Ovis aries: one gene and its partners. The protein of the gene in region 3 purifies or fractionates together with the protein of the main gene of each other region. This does not show direct contact. Links are inferred from orthologs where the notes say so. Each region holds a gene or a part of one and is shown on either strand. Other genes may lie near its edges.

The links.
Region 1: the proteins of HSP90B1 (region 3) and ERBB2 purify together in Homo sapiens (affinity purification with western blotting; 3 studies listed by BioGRID and IntAct, with this or other methods). This does not show direct contact. The link is inferred for Ovis aries from reciprocal best matches to the Homo sapiens genes HSP90B1 and ERBB2.
Region 2: the proteins of HSP90B1 (region 3) and CANX purify together in Homo sapiens (affinity purification with mass spectrometry; 4 studies listed by BioGRID and IntAct, with this or other methods). This does not show direct contact. The link is inferred for Ovis aries from reciprocal best matches to the Homo sapiens genes HSP90B1 and CANX.
Region 4: the proteins of HSP90B1 (region 3) and OS9 purify together in Homo sapiens (affinity purification with mass spectrometry; 6 studies listed by BioGRID and IntAct, with this or other methods). This does not show direct contact. The link is inferred for Ovis aries from reciprocal best matches to the Homo sapiens genes HSP90B1 and OS9.
Region 5: the proteins of HSP90B1 (region 3) and CALR fractionate together in Homo sapiens (co-fractionation; 4 studies listed by BioGRID, with this or other methods). This does not show direct contact. The link is inferred for Ovis aries from reciprocal best matches to the Homo sapiens genes HSP90B1 and CALR.

What each region holds. Positions count from the first base shown.
Region 1 is NC_056064.1:39,836,570-39,840,083, forward strand, and holds part of ERBB2 (receptor tyrosine-protein kinase erbB-2), read left to right. Parts: coding exon 1-63; intron 64-324; coding exon 325-510; intron 511-628; coding exon 629-784; intron 785-876; coding exon 877-952; intron 953-1,258; coding exon 1,259-1,405; intron 1,406-1,732; coding exon 1,733-1,830; intron 1,831-2,028; coding exon 2,029-2,217; intron 2,218-2,498; coding exon 2,499-2,751; intron 2,752-2,880; coding exon 2,881-3,236; 3' UTR 3,237-3,514. UniProt on the Homo sapiens protein: Protein tyrosine kinase that is part of several cell surface receptor complexes, but that apparently needs a coreceptor for ligand binding. Essential component of a neuregulin-receptor complex, although neuregulins do not interact with it alone.
Region 2 is NC_056058.1:1,394,379-1,397,892, forward strand, and holds part of CANX (calnexin), read right to left. Parts: intron 415-3,514; 5' UTR 412-414; coding exon 238-411; intron 1-237. UniProt on the Homo sapiens protein: Calcium-binding protein that interacts with newly synthesized monoglucosylated glycoproteins in the endoplasmic reticulum. It may act in assisting protein assembly and/or in the retention within the ER of unassembled protein subunits.
Region 3 is NC_056056.1:173,212,578-173,216,091, forward strand, and holds part of HSP90B1 (endoplasmin), read left to right. Parts: intron 1-2,843; coding exon 2,844-2,955; intron 2,956-3,182; coding exon 3,183-3,302; intron 3,303-3,514.
Region 4 is NC_056056.1:161,965,325-161,969,294, reverse strand, and holds the start of OS9 (protein OS-9), read left to right. Parts: upstream 1-1,156; 5' UTR 1,157-1,172; coding exon 1,173-1,334; intron 1,335-1,756; coding exon 1,757-1,933; intron 1,934-2,810; coding exon 2,811-2,874; intron 2,875-3,004; coding exon 3,005-3,090; intron 3,091-3,265; coding exon 3,266-3,364; intron 3,365-3,970. UniProt on the Homo sapiens protein: Lectin component of the HRD1 complex, which functions in endoplasmic reticulum (ER) quality control and ER-associated degradation (ERAD).
Region 5 is NC_056058.1:10,923,588-10,927,684, reverse strand, and holds the start of CALR (calreticulin), read left to right. Parts: upstream 1-1,294; 5' UTR 1,295-1,365; coding exon 1,366-1,456; intron 1,457-1,824; coding exon 1,825-1,926; intron 1,927-2,086; coding exon 2,087-2,290; intron 2,291-2,743; coding exon 2,744-2,838; intron 2,839-2,928; coding exon 2,929-3,138; intron 3,139-3,220; coding exon 3,221-3,334; intron 3,335-3,414; coding exon 3,415-3,558; intron 3,559-4,097. UniProt on the Homo sapiens protein: Calcium-binding chaperone that promotes folding, oligomeric assembly and quality control in the endoplasmic reticulum (ER) via the calreticulin/calnexin cycle.

The DNA of each region.
Region 1 (3,514 bases), on a different chromosome or scaffold from region 3:
CCCGTGGCCATCAAGGTGTTGAGGGAAAACACATCTCCCAAAGCCAACAAGGAAATCTTGGACGTAAGCCCTTCCACCCTGTCCAGCTGGGGGTATGGGGGACTGGGCTCTCTCTCTCTTCACTGGGGTTTTGGGGGACACCCTGTGATTCCCCCAAATGTCTACTCTTACCCTCCCTAGTCTGTGGGCCATGGTTCCGATTTGTGATGAATGGGATTGGGTTGGCGGAGGGCCCGTTATCATGGCTTAGCCCTTGGGAGGGGTGTGTGGTGGTTGGGGGTTAGTGGTTTCCCATACCCTCTCAGTGTGTGCCCTTGTTTCCAGGAAGCATATGTGATGGCTGGTGTAGGCTCCCCATATGTGTCCCGCCTCCTGGGCATCTGCCTGACATCCACAGTGCAGCTGGTGACACAGCTTATGCCCTATGGCTGCCTCCTCGACCACGTCCGAGAACACCGTGGGCGCCTGGGCTCCCAGGACCTGCTGAACTGGTGTGTGCAGATTGCCAAGGTATGCACTTTGGGGGCCAGGGCTCTGCAGGTGCCCTTGGGGAGCAAGCCTCTGGATAGGGAGGTTTCCTGGGAGAGTTTTGGCAGAGCGAGGTCCACACTGATGCCTCTGACCCCAGGGGATGAGCTACTTGGAGGATGTGCGGCTCGTGCATAGGGACCTGGCTGCCCGGAACGTGCTGGTCAAGAGTCCCAACCATGTGAAGATTACAGACTTCGGGCTAGCGCGACTGCTAGACATTGACGAGACAGAGTACCACGCAGATGGGGGCAAGGTTAGAGGAGCAAACCGAAACAAGGGGGAGTGGGGTCTGGCCCCTGGGAGAACTCAGACCTGGTTGGAGGACTTCCTTCTCTGCTCTACCAGGTGCCCATCAAGTGGATGGCATTGGAGTCCATTCTCCGCCGGCGGTTCACCCACCAGAGTGACGTGTGGAGCTATGGTGTGTGATGGAGTGGGTAGGGAGGGTGGACAAGGAGCCATGGCCCTGGGGAGAATGTGGGTGGAAGGATGGGGTGAACTGATAGACACCTTTGGTATAAATGTGAGAAGGAAGGAAGTGGCTGCCAGTGCCTCAGGCTGCCAGAGTGTGTGTGCTTCCCAGGGACTGGGAAAAGACCAAGTTATCTCCTGTCCTTTGGCATTGCATCTTTCCTCCTTCCCCCATGGTGCCAGGCTCTTCGGCAGAGCCTCTGAGGCTCCGTACACTAAAGCTGCCTCTGGTCCTCCCACCCCATCTATGCCCCAGGTGTGACTGTGTGGGAGCTGATGACTTTTGGGGCCAAACCTTATGATGGGATCCCAGCCCGGGAGATTCCTGACCTGCTGGAGAAGGGAGAACGGCTGCCCCAGCCCCCCATCTGCACCATTGATGTCTACATGATCATGGTCAAATGTACGTTCTTGAGCTGTGTTGGCTGCTTGGAGGAGGGGTGGGTGGTCCTGGGCGGATGGGCCTACAAGGGGCATGGGCCAAGAGCATGGTGATAAGGTTAATGGGTCTCAGAAGGCTCTCCCTGCCCTTTTACAGTACCAGTCCAGAGGAGCTAGCGAGGGCCAGCTAGGAAAAAAGACTGATCCAAAGTAAAAAGGAGAAACTGGTAGATTCTCCATCATCAGAGGGCTTTGGACTCTAGTGTTGTCTAGACTGGGCGTGAGGGTGAGGGGCGCTGCATGCAGGCTGCAGCCAGAACTGAGATGCCAGGCTCTTGCCCACCCCCAGGTTGGATGATTGACTCTGAATGTCGGCCGAGGTTCCGGGAGTTAGTGACTGAATTCTCCCGCATGGCCAGGGACCCCCAGCGCTTTGTGGTCATCCAGGTACTGAACCTTTCACCCCATCCCTGCCTATGGCTAAGAGCACTCTCCCTTAGAAGGGAGGAAAGGAAGAATGATTCCTGGGTCCCAGGCTTCCAAGCTCCTGCCTGACTCATCAGACTTCTAGCCCTCCCTGAGCCACCCCTAGGAGGCTGCGTACTGGGCTGGGGAGAGGCTGCCATGCGTCTCCCTCCTCCCCAGAATGAAGACTTGGGCCCTGCTAGCCCCCTGGATAGCACCTTCTACCGCTCGCTGCTGGAGGATGACGACATGGGAGACCTGGTGGATGCGGAGGAGTACCTGGTACCCCAGCAGGGCTTCTTCTGCCCAGACCCTGCCCCAGGAGCTGGAGGCACGGCCCACCGCAGGCACCGCAGCACATCCACCAGGGTTAGTGCTCCCATCGCATGGGGTGGGTGTCGTTGGTTACCTCCCGACTCCAGCGGACCAGGGTTCCTTCCTCCGATGTCCTCCAGCTGTTACCTCTCATGAAGGAGGCCCCATTTTCCCTAAGAAGGATTCTTACTGCTTTCCAACCGTGATCCCATTCTTTCTACCATGCCTCTGTCATACATCAGAGATGATTTATCTCCTGGGACTCTGTCACTTCCCATGGAACCTCCATCTCAGATCCATGAATGACCTCCCTTTTGACCTTCTCTTGTCCTCAGAGTGGTGGTGGTGAGCTGACACTGGGGCTGGAGCCCTCTGAGGAGGAGCCCCCCAGATCTCCGCTGGCACCTTCCGAAGGGGCAGGCTCTGATGTGTTTGATGGCGACTTGGGAATGGGGGCGGCCAAGGGGCTGCAGTCCCTCCCCCAACACGACTCTAGCCCTCTACAGCGGTACAGCGAGGACCCCACAGTACCCCTTTCTCCCGAGGCTGATGGCTACGTTGCCCCCTCGACCTGCAGCCCCCAGCCCGGTATGAAGTCAGGCTTGAGCTGAGAGGTGGGGATTGGGGGTGCTCTGCCCAGGGCCTGCTGCAGGGCAGTTGTAGCAGCTGGGACACACAGATTTCACCCTCTTACGATTCCTTCTCCTGTCCTTTCAGAATACGTGAACCAGCCAGAGGTTCGCCCACAGCCCCCGTCACCCCTAGAGGGTCCTCTGCCGCCTCCTCGACCTGCAGGTTCCACTCTGGAAAGGCCCAAGACGCTCTCCCCTGGGAAGAATGGGGTTGTCAAAGACGTTTTTGCCTTTGGGGCTGCCGTGGAGAACCCCGAGTACTTGGCACCCCGGGGCAGGGCCGCCCCTCAGTCCCACCCTTCTCCAGCCTTCAGCCCAGCCTTTGACAACCTCTACTACTGGGACCAGGACCCATCAGAGCGGGGCACTCCATCCAGCTCCTTTGAAGGGACCCCTACGGCAGAGAACCCTGAGTACCTGGGCCTGGACATGCCAGTATGAGCCAAAAGGCCAGGGCCACTGAGGCCCTGCTGAACCCTCAGGGCATGTGGAAGGCCTGACTTCTGGCCCACGTCGGCACCAGGCAGGGAGCAGGCCCTTGGATCACGTCCAGGGGAGCCTGCCATGCCAGAAATCTCCTTTCCTACTTCAACTCCTAGGTGGCTGAGAGCGGCCCAGCCTGACTTCTTCCAGACCCTTGGCACTGAACGACTTAGGGAGGCTGGGCCGAGTGCGAAGAAGGCCCCAAGGGGGTGTCTAGGAACTACAGCAACCCATTC
Region 2 (3,514 bases), on a different chromosome or scaffold from region 3:
AAGAATTAAAATATTCTCAGTAGGATCTATTCTCTTGGTTTGCTTTCACACTTGCATGACTGGCCCTCAAATTCAACCCATATAATTTATCTTTGGGACAATATAACAAAGGTTGACAGGGAGAGCAATAAGTATTTTAGCAAATTTTGCTTTCCCTTTGGTAAGGATCCAAAATGTACCTTCATCTTTTGATCATCTCAAGAGGCAAAACAAACAGATTCAAAGATCATGTCAAACCTTTGGCGATGGCGGACTGCTGGCATCTGGCTTCGGTTTCGAGTCTTCTACCTCTTCAATGACGTCATCAAGGTCATCCTCAATGTCAATCACATCATCGTCATGTCCATCATGAGCTTGAACAAGAGCAGTTCCAAGGACCAGTAACATACACAGCAACCACTTCCCTTCCATGATCTAAGTATTTATTAAAAAAAAATACAGTTAATTGTATCACCTCCTTTCAAAAATTTTGAACCCTTATTTAAAATTAAGGCTTTCAAATCAGAGCTGAAAGGAACTTTACTGTATTTCATTTTATAGATAAAGAAAGTGAACTCAGAATAACAGGTTTTCCTAAAATCAGTTAGTTAAAAGATTCAATTTCAAGAAAAAATTCAAACTATAACTCAAACAATTGTCCCCATATAGAATATCATGTTGGCTACACAGACCTAGGGTGTTCAGATATAATTTCAAAATAACTTCTTGCATTTGTAAAGAGCTTTACAATAGACAAAGCCCCTTTTACAGAATAGTTTAAACGAGTTAAAACATTACAATGAAATAACAGAGGAGTTAACTTGCCTCACATTAAAGACTTAATTTAGATTAGATGCTGCTGTTTTTGTCCAAAGATCAAGAAGAATAGGTATGTTTTTTAATTAGTGTTTTAAGGGACTTCCAGGGAACCCTGTGCAAAGCAGGGGACTTGAGTTTGATCCATGGCTGGGGAACTAAGATCCTCCATGCAACAGAGCAACTAAGCCCAGAGCAAACAGGCCACAATTCGAGACTCCATGCTCAACAAGGTCCTGCACTAAAACCAGACCCCGCAGGATGCAAAGATCCCACCTGTCAGCAACTAAGACCCAATAAGCCAAGTAAATAAATAATACATCAGTTTTAAGATTCAACAAAAAAATATATTAAACCATGCTGCTGCTGCTAAGTCACTTCAGTCGTGTCCGACTCTGTGCAACCCCAAAGACGGCAGCCCACCAGGCTCTGCCGTCTCTGGGATTCTCCAGGCAAGAACACTGGAGTGGGGTGCCATTTTCTTCTCCAGTGGATGAAAGTGAAAAATGAAAGAGAAGTCGCTCAGTCATGTCCGACTCTGTGCCACCCCATGGACTGCAGCCCACCAGGCTCCTCCGTCCATGGGAGTTTCCAGGCAAGAGTACTGGAGTGGGGCGCCATTGCCTTCTCCGAAAAACAAAAAAATATATTAAACCATAGACCAACTATTTTTATCTCTTTTTTCTAAGCCTTCAAGTGTCTTACATATCATATCTGACTGTCATGGATGGTAGTCAATCCTCTCTCCAAAACCACAGATCTAAAGATACAAAAACTGAGCCACACGGATGCACAAAATGATTCGGCAGTAGGTTGTACAGAATTTTAATTCTGCAAGATGAAGAGTTCTCGAGACGGATGGAGGTGAAAGCTGTACAACAATATGAACATACTCAATGCCACTGAACTTGATGGTTAAGATGGTAAATCTTACAAGTATTTTCACTGCTATAAAAAAGATTTTATTAAAATAAAATAGCTTAATTTTTTGGTCACTGGTAAATCAACTTATTCTAATGCTGAATTTAACGCCTAATTCCTTATAAATGCTATAATCCTTTAAAGTGATTGATTATATAGAACTAGACTTTCATGTATCATTTGGCGGCATTTCCTTTATTTATAAAGCGTGGGTACTGTTTTCACAAAATGAAAGAAAGTAAGGCTCACTGGACTCCTAGGCAGCACAGAAAATAAAGAAATAAAAGATTTTTATAAAAATAAAAACTCACTCATCATCTTTCCTAGGACTGGTATTAGAGTTTAAAAACTCTCAATGTCAACATTCTGCTATGGCTTCTTATATACCAAGAAATGCCAGTAATTTCAATTTTTCACTGTTAAGGCTTCTATTCTCTACCACCGAAATCTACAATGGCGTAGCAATATCGCTTTGATTTACAACTACACTGGATTCTCTGAAACTAAACAGGCTGATTCAACCCTTTTATCTACATCAACTGTATACAACCTAAGAAGTCCTCACAGAAATAATGCTATAAATGGCAGTTGGGTTCCCAGGGATACTCTATAAATCAAATTAGCCCACAAAATAGTTAAGTCAAAAAGGCAAATGTGATAAGCCCAGTAGCAATTAAGTGAACCACAAAGCCAGTGAATTAATAAGGACTGTGCACTGATGTTAAAACACTGCTGCTCAAGGAAAAGCTAATCGGGGAGATGAACTAACTACTTAACTTTCAAAAATGGGATTCAGGTAGGGTTCAGTGAGGGAGAGTACAGCTGCAGAACAGGAAGACTGATTTTTTTCCCTGTATCTTTTAATTTACTGATATACTGCTGTTATGTTATGGGCTTGCAGATGGCTCAGTGGTAAAGAACTGGTCTGCCAATGAAGGAGACCCACATTTCGGGAAGATCCGCTGGAGAAGGAAATGGTAACCCACTCCAGTATTCTTGCCTGGGAAATCCTATGGAAGGACCTGGCAGGCTACAGTCCATGGGGTTGTAAAAGATTTGGTCACAAGTGAGCAACTGAGCGCACACACACATACAACATATACCGCTGTTACAGGCTTAACTGTGTCTCCTACCTCAAATTTGTATGTTGAAACTTGAACTCCCAACATAACTATATTTAGAGATAGGACCTTTAAGTAATTAAGGTTAAAAGCAGTCATAAGGTTGGGGCCCTAACTGGTGTCTATAGTAAGAGGAAGAGAACCAGGAATCCACATGCACAGAGGTTAAGTCCAACGAGGACACAAGATGGTGGCCCTCCGCAAGCTGAGGAGGAAGGCCACATCAGAAGCCAACTCTGCCAACGCCTCGATCACAGACTTCCAGACTGTAAGAAAACACTTTTCTGTTGTTTAAGCTGCCCGGCCTGTGGTGCTGTTGTGGCAGTCCAAGCAGACTAACACAATGCTCCTTGGGTTGAGTATAATGTCACAAGACAGCTCTTCCTAACTTGAGCGTGCCTCAGGGGGCTTTTTAAAACAGACTGCTGATTGAGTGTGTGCGTGCTGGGCCTTTTCCTTCCTATCAGGTTCCAGGGGATGCAAAGGTTGCTACCCTGAGAACCACTGACTAGGGTTTATGAATCATCAACTTGTGCTTTGTGTTCCAGTTTATAAAAGCACTTTCACAGTTACATTATTTTGCAAACCTCCCTTGAGGTATTACTAAGATGTAGTGAAATGAAAACAACCCAATCATTTACTCAATATCACAACCAATAAGTGAGAGTCAAAGACTT
Region 3 (3,514 bases):
GAGTTTAGGGCTACAGTGGAGAGTAAGACAGTGGCTGTTCCTCCTTTCACATGGCTCATTCAACTAAGAAAACACATGAAATAATTTCAGAATGGCAAATGCCAGAAAGGAAGCTAAGGGACAACCCCCTTATCAGAAGGTCTTTCTGAAATGGTTTTGAGTTAGGGTCAGACGTTCTAGGCAGCAAGCACTGCACATTGGACAGTTTCAGAGGCACATTTGAGAAACTGAAGGTCTAGAATGGCCAAAGGGAAAAGAGCAAAGGCAAAGAAGTAGCAAGGTCAAGATCTTGCCCTACCTACATGTTACTTCATCTTAATATTGGACCAGTAAAGTAGAGGCTGTCAGACAATTGTTTCCTCCCTACTCCTGTTCTTACCCTTAATGAGCCACCACTTAGGGGACATTTAGTGAAGCATAAATGAGATCATGAAATCAGCATCTTGTAAATGCTAACATAAAATGGCTTCTGCCCCTCCTCCTATCATGAAGGGCGTATTCTACATTTCTCCCTTACGCTAGTCACTGCTTCTCATCTGTTGTCTCTCACACCATCTCCTCAGAGATGAGAGAATTAATTACTAGTGCATCTTTTAAAGTCAGCCTTTGCTGAACACCTTCCTCTTTGCATCAAAGTGTAAATGTATTGAAGTCTCTCTAGGAGAAGGAGGGGGCAGGCAGGTGATGCACCGTGCTGCTGTCAGGCACGTGCTCTCCCATTTTCTTTCCTGCTGTTGGGTGTTTCGAAAAAGCATACTTGCCTTTGCTGCTACTTCACCTTCTATTCCCCCCTCAGCCCATGGTATTTTGACTTTATCCACCACTTTTCCATGGAAATAAATTACCAATATTCCTTGTTGCTAAATCCAGTGGATTCATGCTTATTTTAGTTGCTGTGATCCCCAGCAATAGCTTCTCTTTCTCTCTCTTGTTTTTTTTTTTTTTTTGGAGTTTTTCTTTTGTGTTTTCTACAGAATTTGCATTTTACTGCTCACTCCTTAAGACAATCCACTCAGTACCCAGCATCATTTTTTTTAAATTTCCTTTGCCTGTTTCTTACATGTTGATGGTCTCTTTTCTTCAGAAGTGCAGTTTTAGCCCTCTATGTCCTGTGTCCATCATGCAGTCTTAACCACTGTTGTGGATTCAGACTCTGGCTCCTTCTCGGGCTTCTCTAATCTATATTTTTAGCCAAGATCAGGAGTCAGCAGACTTTTAATGAAAGGGTCAGCTAGTAAATATTTTCAGCTCATGAACATGTCAGAACTCTCCTATCTATAGTTTGAAAGCAGTCATAGAGTATATGATGAGGTTGTGTCCTGATGAAATTTCTTGTGAGTGGCAACCAGAGTTTGCCAGCCCCTGGTCTAGATCTTGCTACTGGGTTCTAGGCTTATATGTCTAATTACCTTTTGAATACCTGACTAAGATGTCTAATCATCAGCTTCAATTCGCATCTAAAACTGATACAACTTGGTGCCAACCTAGGCTCACTAGGTATGTATACTCCAAGACCCGAGGTTTAGTCCCCTCACTAGGCTGTGTCATCACGTACTGTGTACTTGCTGGAAACTCCTATACGCTTTTTGAGGCAAGGAGGGGACCATGGATTCTCCTTTTTTTTTTTTTTTTATTCTCTATTTTTATTGGGAGCACAAATATCAAGATATGGGCTACCCACTTGTTTGAGAGTATGATGTGGCTGTTATTTTTGGTGGGTGGAGGAGATGTTTGCAGAAAGGGTGGTAAGGAAGAAGAGGAAGCAGTGCTGCAGTTTTCAGTACTATAATTATAATCTCAGTCAGTGCTGTTCCTGATAGAACTGTCTGTGGTAGACATGGTCATTCACTACTCTGTCCAGTATGGCAGCTACTTGCCACATGTGACTGTTGACTTGGAATGTGGCGATTTAACTAAAGAACTAACTTTAACTGTTATGACTATAACTGACTATAACTGACTTTTAACTATTAACAAATAATCACATGTAACAGGTGGGTGGCTCCTGTTTTGTCTAGTGCAAATAAACAGTAGTTCAGATTAATGTTCTAGCTATTATTTTAAAATAAATTCATTTATTTATTTTTGACTATGTTGGGTCTTTGTTGCTGCGCAGGCTTTTCTGTAGTTGCGGTGAACAGGGTCTACTAGTCATGGTGCATGGGCTTCTCATTGCTGTGGCTTCTCTTGTTGTAGAACATGGGCTCTAGGGCACGTGGGCTCAGTAGTTGCAGCGCCCAGGCTCTGGAGCACCGGATCAATAGTAGTGATGTACAGGCTTAGTTGTTCCACGGCATGTGGGATCTTCCTGGATCAGGGATCAAAACCATGACTGTTGCGTTGGCATGTGAGTTCTTTACTGCGGAGCCATCAGAGATGCCCTCTAGCTTTTTCTTAAGGAATGTGTTTTTATTAGGGGTTAACTGTCTACAGTATGTAATCAGTTGATTTTCTAGGGAAGCTAGTAGAATGTGTATGATTCTACTTTTCTCCAGAATATTGCAGCAACTTCCCACCTTCAGCTAGCTTAAGATTTCTGTTCTTCAAATGAAAAAAAATCCAGCACATTGAGGAGGTTGGAAACCTTTTCATTTTTTGCTTATAATGAAGAATGTTTTCCACATGAGGGAGGGAGTGCAAAAAAGATTCTTCCTTTTACTATACCCATATTTAGTATATTTAGCTCACAAACCTTTATTGGTGATAAGAGTTCTTAACATGAATAATGGGGACTTTGTGGGTTATGCACAGTTGGCTATTATAGTCAAATGAATATTTACACAAATTTATAATCAGAACTTTTAAATAATGACGTGTCTCTAAATGTCTTATTTTCCTTGCAGCCTTGTTTTAAAAGAAGAAGCATCTGATTACCTTGAATTGGATACAATTAAAAACCTCGTGAAAAAATATTCACAGTTCATAAACTTTCCTATTTATGTATGGAGCAGCAAGGTAAATTTATATGAGTAAAGTTTATATATCTATATTACCTTGGACATATTTAACTATTTAACACAGAAAGAATGAAGATTAAATGTGGTTCTTCTAATGCAGGATACTCAGTATTTTCTTACTGAAGACTATTTTTTTGAGCTGTAATTTTGTTTCATATCCTATAGAATAAAATCAAGAATTATGAAACATTAGCTTAACCATCATTCTATTTTCTACATAAACAGACTGAAACGGTTGAGGAACCTGCCGAAGAAGAAGAAGCAGGAAAAGAAGATAAAGAAGAATCTGATGATGAAGCTGCCGTAGAAGAAGAAGAAGACGAAAAGAAACCAAAAACTAAAAAAGTAAGCCTGGTTCATCCTCCTACTTAAAATATTGTTTAGGTTATAAGGTACCCGATTCCTAGGAAAAGGGGTAAGATTTCTTGTTGCAGGAGAGGGGTTTGGGTTCAAGGAAGGTGGCCAAAAGATACAGACTTCCAGTTATAAATGAGCGCTAGGGATGTAAGATAGTGTGATGGAGCCAACACTGGTCTGTGATGTATGGAAAAGCTGTC
Region 4 (3,970 bases), about 11 Mb from region 3:
GATTGGAAAGCTTGTGTGCCTGCTAGGGCTCGAGGGCTTCCCTGGTGGCTCAGACAGAGAAGAATCTCCCTGCAGTGCAGGATTCTCCGCCACGGACGTAAATGTAGGATTCCCTCATCTTGTTTCTTTAAGAGAACCCTGATGAAAATATCTTTGGGATTTCTCTGTTGGGCGGGACAGAGTCTCCAGATAAGTTTTTCCAAAGATATAGTCATGATCTTGTTTATGTTTGTTTAGGAATCAATTTCTCAGGATTACTTAATCAGTTCCCATTCCTCCATTTGCTTTCTAGCTTCTGAAATGTTGCTGCTGTCTCCTTTCCCTTTGTTCCTAAGTGGTCTGGAAGACAATACCTACGTTTGTCACTCGCAGCTGTCCAGCTCCCAGTTTTCAACTGGAAGTTCCCATTATTTCTTTGTGGGCTTCCCTGGTGGCTCAGGGGTTAAAGTGTCTGCCTGCAATGTGGGAGACCTGGGTTCGATTCCGATCCCTGGGTCGGCAACCCACTCCAGTATTCTTTCCTGGTGAATCCCATGGACGGAGGAGCCTGGTGGGCTACAGCCCATGGGTTCACAGAGTCGGACATGACTATTTTTATTGGAAGACAACTGCAGGATCGTCCAGAAAGGTTTTGACACAAATTACCAGATCACCTAAATATGTATGTAAAATGAAAAGAGGAATGCTACTATACAATAATTGTTTTGTAACAAGTATTAAGTAGCTTTCAAGAGTATTGTGTGCACGCCCCCATCCACCTCAAAGTCCGCTTGGCGGCGGCCAGACACAGTACAAAAAATGACTTAAAAAGCAATCAGAAATGCGTACAACAGCTGGGCTAGAACAGAAAAGAAAAAAACACACACAAAAAACTGCTTAACTGGGCCCGGCGTGTAGACCGCGCCTCCCTGGAACTGGGAGAGGGGAGGAGGGGGTCCGATATCATTGGTGATTGGTTGGCCTCTTCAACCAATCACGCGTAGCGAGTGATTTTGCTAATTGTCATGATACACCTCCTCGTGGGCTTTAGAGCTACGTTGACAAATGGGAATAGGGCACGTGAGAGGGACAGAAAGTTTCGCCAATAAGACCTTGGGGCGTTATGGGCGGGATGAGGCCGCCGCCAGGTTTAGGGCGGAAGGAGTTGTTCTGGATTAGAAGGGGAACGAAAGATGGCGGCGGAAACGCTGCTGTCCAGTCTGTTGGGACTGCTACTTCTGGGGCTCCTGTTACCCGCAAGTCTGACCGGCGGGGTCGGGAGCCTGAACCTGGAGGAGCTGAGTGAGATGCGTTATGGGATCGAGATACTGCCGTTGCCTGTCATGGGAGGCCAGGTGAGGAGGCGTAAAGGGGCAAGGGTCCTGGGCAGAAAGGGAAGGAGAAGGTAGAGGAAAAAGGGCAGCTGTGGAGTTTGTGGCGGAAGCCTAAGGAGAATCGGGAAGAGTAAGCAGCGGTTTTATGAGGATTCCTGAAGATCGTAGTCAAAGACCCATTCCCTTGGGGCCAGGGACTGGGAGGGGTGGGGCTTCCCTCTGTCAACTTCAGGTCCCAGTTCCCTATTGAAACACTCAGACTCCTCCCCTGTGAAAAAGTGGGAGTGCCCTCTCCCCTCACCCGCTGAACACCGCTGGAGGACTTGTGGCTCACTCTGTCTTGACTGGACTCCTCCCCATTATGTGAAGAGGGATCTCGTTGTTCTCCCTGATCCCAAACCTCTGTTTGCCTCCCTGTCCCCCGACCCCCACTTCTTTCCCAGAGCCAAGCTTCGGACGTGGTGATTGTCTCCTCTAAGTACAAGCAGCGCTATGAATGTCGCCTGCCAGCTGGAGCTATTCACTTCCAGCGTGAAAGGGAGGAGGAGGCACCTGCTTACCAAGGGCCTGGGATCCCTGAGTTGTTGAGCCCGATGAAAGATGCTCCCTGCCTGCTGAAGGTGAAAGGAACTGGGATAGAGGGAAGGAGGGCATGGAAACTAGTTATCTATTTGGGAACTTGTTATCTATTCACAGTGTGTCTGTGAATGAGGAGTGATCAGAGTATCTGTAGGTGTTAAGAAGGCCATTGAAGGAGCAGGCATATTGTACAGACAGGAAAAAAGCAAAGAATCCTGTAACCAATGATGATACTTTGCTGATTATAGAGGAGTGTTAGGATAGAAAATCTCAGAATAAAGATTAAGCTAATATTGAGGTGCTTAAAGGGGTCAGGCTGAGGCAGTAGGGGTACTCCCTTAGAGAAACTTTCCTGGTTAAGTCACCCCTTTCCCTGTCACTCTCTGCCCAGTGTCCTGTTTTATTTTCATCATGGCAACTTTTCATGACCTGAAATTATTAACTGAATTATCAGTTTGTTTATTTTTGGTCTGAATCCTAGTACTAGAATGTAAGTCTGTGAAATCAGAGAATTTATCTTGTTCACAGCTGTATCCACAGTAACTAAAACAGTACAAGGAAGATCAATTAATACTTTGATATTCCATGTTTCCCTCGTCTGAGTGCTTCAAGGATATCATGATTTCTTATCTTTATGGACAACAAAGAAGGATTAAAAAAAAATTGACAAATAAAAAAAAATTTTTTTTTTAATATTTAGAAAGAGGAGAGTAGTAAACCAACTAGGCTGTAGAAGTCTCTCTCCAAGTTACAGAAGACAAAGAGCCCTCCTCACCAAGAATCTGGAGGATTAAGAATAAGGAGGAGATGAGAAGTAAATCAGTGGTTATGTGTTTTGAGGCCAGGAGAGATTTTGGTTTCCAAGAAGAGATGTCTGCATTCCATCCCCCTGACAGTTCTTTTTTCTTTTATTGTCAGACCAAGGACTGGTGGACATATGAATTCTGTTATGGACGCCACATCCAGCAGTACCATATGGAAGGTGAGTTCCACCTATGTTTTCCCTAAGCCCTCAGAAACCTGTCATGGAAGGTGACCTGCCTCCCCAGTTCCCTTCCCTCCCAGTCCTCTGAGAACAGGGTAACAGTGCTTCACTGTGCTCTCTCTTGCAGATTCAGAGATCAAAGGTGAAGTCCTCTATCTTGGCTACTACCAATCCGCCTTCGACTGGGATGATGAAACAGCAAAGGTGGCAGGGGTGCGGGACTGGGAGAGGAAGGGGTCTGGGCTGCAGACTGAGAGCTCTGTCGAGAAGGGGAGGGGCAGGATTAACTGGCGTGCTTCTCTGGGCTTCGTCTTAGGAGCGAGTGCTCCTTTTCTTCCTCCTTGCTGTCTTTCTCAAACCCCTGCCTCATGCCTGATGTCCTCCCCAGGCCTCCAAGCAGCATCGCCTGAAACGCTACCACAGCCAGACCTATGGCAATGGGTCCAAGTGTGACCTCAATGGGAGGCCCCGGGAGGCTGAAGTTCGGGTGAGTCTTGGGAGAGGGACGTTGACAGTCTGACAGTGACAACTCAGAGTCTAAGGGAAGAGCGCAGGGTTGTGTGGTATAGTCAAGAGTGTCTACCAGGCCCTAGACCCTAAGTGTAAGACTCGTATTTCCAGCTTTGCGTCACTGCCTCAATTTTCACAGGCACTTCTATTTTTTTTTAATTGGTGTATAATTGCTTTACAATGTTGTATTAGGTTCTGCTCTACAACAACGTGAAACAGCTATATGTGTACATATATGCTCCCACTCTTGAGCCTCCTCTGTCCCCGCCCCCACGCCCCACTCCTCTAGATGAGCGCATAGCCCCGAGCTGCGCTCCCTGCGCTGTACAGGAGCTTCCTGCCAGCTGCCTGCTTTACACATGGCAGTGCATACATGTCAGTGCTGCTCGGTTAATCCATCCCACCTACTCCTTACCCCACTGTGCCCAGAAGTCCATTCTCTGTGTCTGCATCTCTATTCCTGCCCTGCAGATAGGTTCATCAGTACCATTTCATAGATTCTGTATATACACATTAATATATGGTATTTGTTTTTCTCTTTCTGACTTCATTCTATATAACAGAATCTAGGTTCATCCGCATC
Region 5 (4,097 bases), on a different chromosome or scaffold from region 3:
CCCCACCCCCCGCCTTCGCCAGTTTATTCCTACTTCCCAAGTCCAGAGCCTATTTGCTCAGTTTGGGAAAGTCCCCGTTCTCCTTCCTCCTTCCTGCAGCCTAGGGGTATGGGGCTGGTGTCAGTCACTGCCAGTCATGTGCCTGTGGCCTCAGAAGGCTCTAGTCTCAGGGGTCCTGCCCACCTCTCTTGGACCTTATCTTCCTCACCATCTGCCTCTTTTTTTTTCTCCTCCCCAACGGAACCCCCTGCCCGCTCATATTCAGCCGTTTAATTGCAAAACCAGGCCGTTTGCGGGAGACCACAAGGCGGCGACCCCTTTCATTTACCGGCTGGGGGGCGGGGATGGGAGGGAGGTAAAGGACAGGCTGCAAAGAGAGGAACACAACCTGTCGTCACATCTTTTGAGCCGTCAGGGTCCTTCCCTCTGTCCCAGAAAATCCCTAAAAGCTTGAAAAGCATTTCCGCCGGACAGCAGCTGGCCGGGGTCGCTCCTCCTGGCCTTTCAAGAGATCCTGTGATTTCAAAGAGGCTGAATGACTTGCCCCAGCTCACACAGAAGCAGTCTGACAGGCTGCCAGGTCACTACGGGGACCGTACTGAGAACAGGCACTCTTCCCCCAGGCCTGCAGGGCTCCGGCGCTGGGAGGAAGTGAAGCCCCAGGGCTCGGTGCCCTCTGCCCCATCCCGGGGGAGGGAGGTGTGGGAGGGAGAAGGCGGGGTTGGGGAGGAAGGCGGGGGGGGGGGGGGGGGGGGGGGGCAGGGAGGCGGGTGGAGGACGGGAAGAGGAGTGGGAAGGAAGAGAAAGACAAGGTGGGAATGGTGGGGTTCCCCAAACTCAGAGTAGAAAGACGCTAGGAAAACCTTGCCCACTCAACCCTTGAGTGGAGTCTAGAATGGAGCCGGACCCTAGCTTCACGCAGCACCACAGCTCGCGCGTGTTCTTTAAACGCCTAGATCCCGAACGCCGCGCGCAAGGGAGGGCGGGGCTGGGCCGAGGTCTGGTCACATGACCTGGACTGAGGGGCTCGAGGCCCCCCCGACTTCACCGGTGGGCGTCCCCCACAACGCGTGGTCGACCTTCATTGGCCAGTGGTGCGGCCAATAGAAATCGGCCATCTGGGAACCCAGCGTTCCGAGGCACAGCCTAACATGCTGAGCCTAGAAGGGTCCAATGGAAAGGCAGGGCTATGGCCACAGACCAATGATAAAGTGAGGAAGGCGGACCAAGAGGCCGGACCAGGCTGGTTTGAGAGCAGGCGGGGTATAAAAGGGCACGGCCGGCGGCGGCGTCCGTCCCCACTGCAGAGCTGCTGCCGGACGAGTGACTTAAAGGGCCCGCGCGCCACCGCCCCCTCGGCCCGCCATGCTGCTACCCGTGCCGCTGCTGCTCGGCCTTCTCGGCCTGGCCGCCGCTGATCCCACCGTTTACTTCAAGGAGCAGTTTCTGGACGGAGGTAACGGCTAGTCCCGCTCGAGATCGTCCTAACGACGCGGCTGGCCCTCCGGCCCATATCTGCGTGTCGCTTGTAATTACTGCTCAGAGGGCCAACACGGTTTCCTTCAGGGACTGGAGCCGAAGGCGAGCCTTCCTTCGGCGTCCCTGGGGAGCGTGGAGGGAGCAGCGGCTTTCCGAAGCGGGAGTTAGGGTTTGCCCGAGGATCTTTTAAGTCACCAGAGATGTCAAACTAGAGGTTGGGGTGGGGACGGTCTGGGGGGAGGGGGGAATCTCCTTCCTTGCTCCCAGCAGTTTGTGGCTCCTGGTAGATGTTTGGTGGGGAGTTGATCAGCACCGCCGCGCTTACCTGCCTCTTTGATCCTCTAGACGGGTGGACCGAGCGCTGGATCGAATCCAAACACAAACCGGATTTTGGCAAATTCGTTCTCAGTTCCGGCAAGTTCTATGGTGACCAGGAGAAAGATAAAGGTAAGAACTTAGGAGTGGGTATTCAGATCCAGGAGGACAGAGTTTGGGTATCCCTAGAAGTAGGGGAGGTGAAGGAAGGAGGACTGGTGTGTATTTTACATCCTTAGGGTTCCCCGGGGGGTTGGTGCTGAGCCCTGATCTGATTATAGTCTCTCGGTAGGCCTGCAGACTAGCCAGGATGCCCGGTTCTACGCACTGTCGGCGAGATTTGAGCCTTTCAGCAACAAGGGTCAGACGCTGGTGGTGCAGTTCACGGTGAAACACGAGCAGAACATCGACTGTGGGGGCGGCTATGTGAAGCTGTTTCCAGCTGGTTTGGATCAGACAGACATGCACGGGGACTCCGAATACAACATCATGTTTGGTAAGGGGACTCCACCCTGGTGCTGATTTCTGGTCACTTAGAGGGAGTTTGAAACCCGGGGAGTTCTTTATCGCCCATGAACGGTGGTCTTGAGAGCATAGAAAACACTTACATGCTTTAGGCATTTCTTTCATAGGGAAGGTGAGGGAATAGTTAGGAACCACTTACTGCATTTTTATCATCGACTTCACACTAATTCGTGCAGTTTTACTATATAGGCATTTCCTTGTTCCTAGTTGTGCAAGTGAAGATTGTGAGTTCTGGAGTACTGATGTGTGGTTTGTTTTTTTTTAAGTGTCCTCCCCCAGTTCCTTAGAGAGAAGGTCTGAATTTTGTTTTTTCAGCTTGACAGTCCTGAGTTTAAGAACCAAGTTGTCTTTTTGTAATGGGGTGGGCAGGGGCTTGTAATGGTGGACAGACTGTAGTTCTGACCAAGATCTGCTTCTCACCAAGGCCCAGACATCTGTGGACCCGGCACCAAGAAGGTTCATGTCATCTTCAACTACAAGGGCAAGAATGTGCTGATCAACAAGGATATTCGCTGCAAGGTGTGCCTTGGGGGTGGTCACAAATGGCTGTGAGGGGAGGCTTTGAGCCCAGGCTGGTGGGCGGGGCCACTCATCTTTCATTCTCTTTAGGACGATGAATTCACCCACCTGTACACGCTGATTGTGCGGCCTGATAATACGTATGAGGTGAAGATTGATAACAGCCAGGTGGAGTCAGGCTCCTTGGAGGACGACTGGGATTTCTTGCCCCCCAAGAAGATAAAGGATCCTGATGCCGCTAAGCCTGAAGACTGGGATGATCGTGCCAAGATCGATGACCCCACAGACTCCAAGCCTGAGGTTGGTGCTTGGGCAGGGGCTCCCCACCATGGAGCGTGTGGAGGACAGCTGCTCCTATTCTGACCTCCTAATGTATCCTCAGGATTGGGACAAGCCTGAGCACATTCCTGACCCTGATGCTAAGAAACCTGAGGACTGGGATGAAGAGATGGACGGAGAGTGGGAACCACCTGTTATTCAGAACCCAGAGTACAAGGTGAGTCTGGCACTCTGAGGAGGGTGGTGCACAATGGGGAAGGCAGTGATCTTCGCTCACCCGTCAGTTTACTTCTGCAGGGGGAGTGGAAGCCCAGGCAGATCGACAACCCAGAGTACAAGGGCGTTTGGATCCATCCAGAGATTGACAACCCTGAGTATTCCCCTGATAGCAACATCTACGCCTATGAAAACTTTGCTGTTCTAGGCTTGGATCTTTGGCAGGTGAGACATGGAGGGAAGAGGCGGCTCCCTAGGGGACCTCAGGTGCTCAGGGTCAACCCAGGAGAAAAGGGGACAAGGGCGGGCAGACTCCAAAATGGTGCCCCCCCCCTTTCTTTTAAGAAATTCCTGGTTTGTCATTACGGGGTCTTAACAGCACCTGCTTTGGCTTGTACTTAATATGTTCCAGGTACTATTTTCAAGTATTTTTGTGGGAAGTAACTCAATTGCATCCAGCAGCCTAGAAAGGCAGGTAGATAACCCCATTAGAACTTAGCTTCACAAGGGCCGAATTTTTGTCCTGTTTGTCAATGTACTTTCTGCATCTAGTATGCTGCTTGGCACATAGACTGTACTAGGAAAGATAGTTTGAAGAAGAGAATGAGATCTCATTTTATAGATGAAGATACTGAGGTGCAAAGAGATGAAGTCACCAGCTCAAGATCATATATAGTAAATGGCAGAGCTGAGGTTTGAATCTAGGCAGCCTATTTTTCAACTGCAATGTTAGACTGTAGTATTGTGTAGTGGTTATGTGAGCA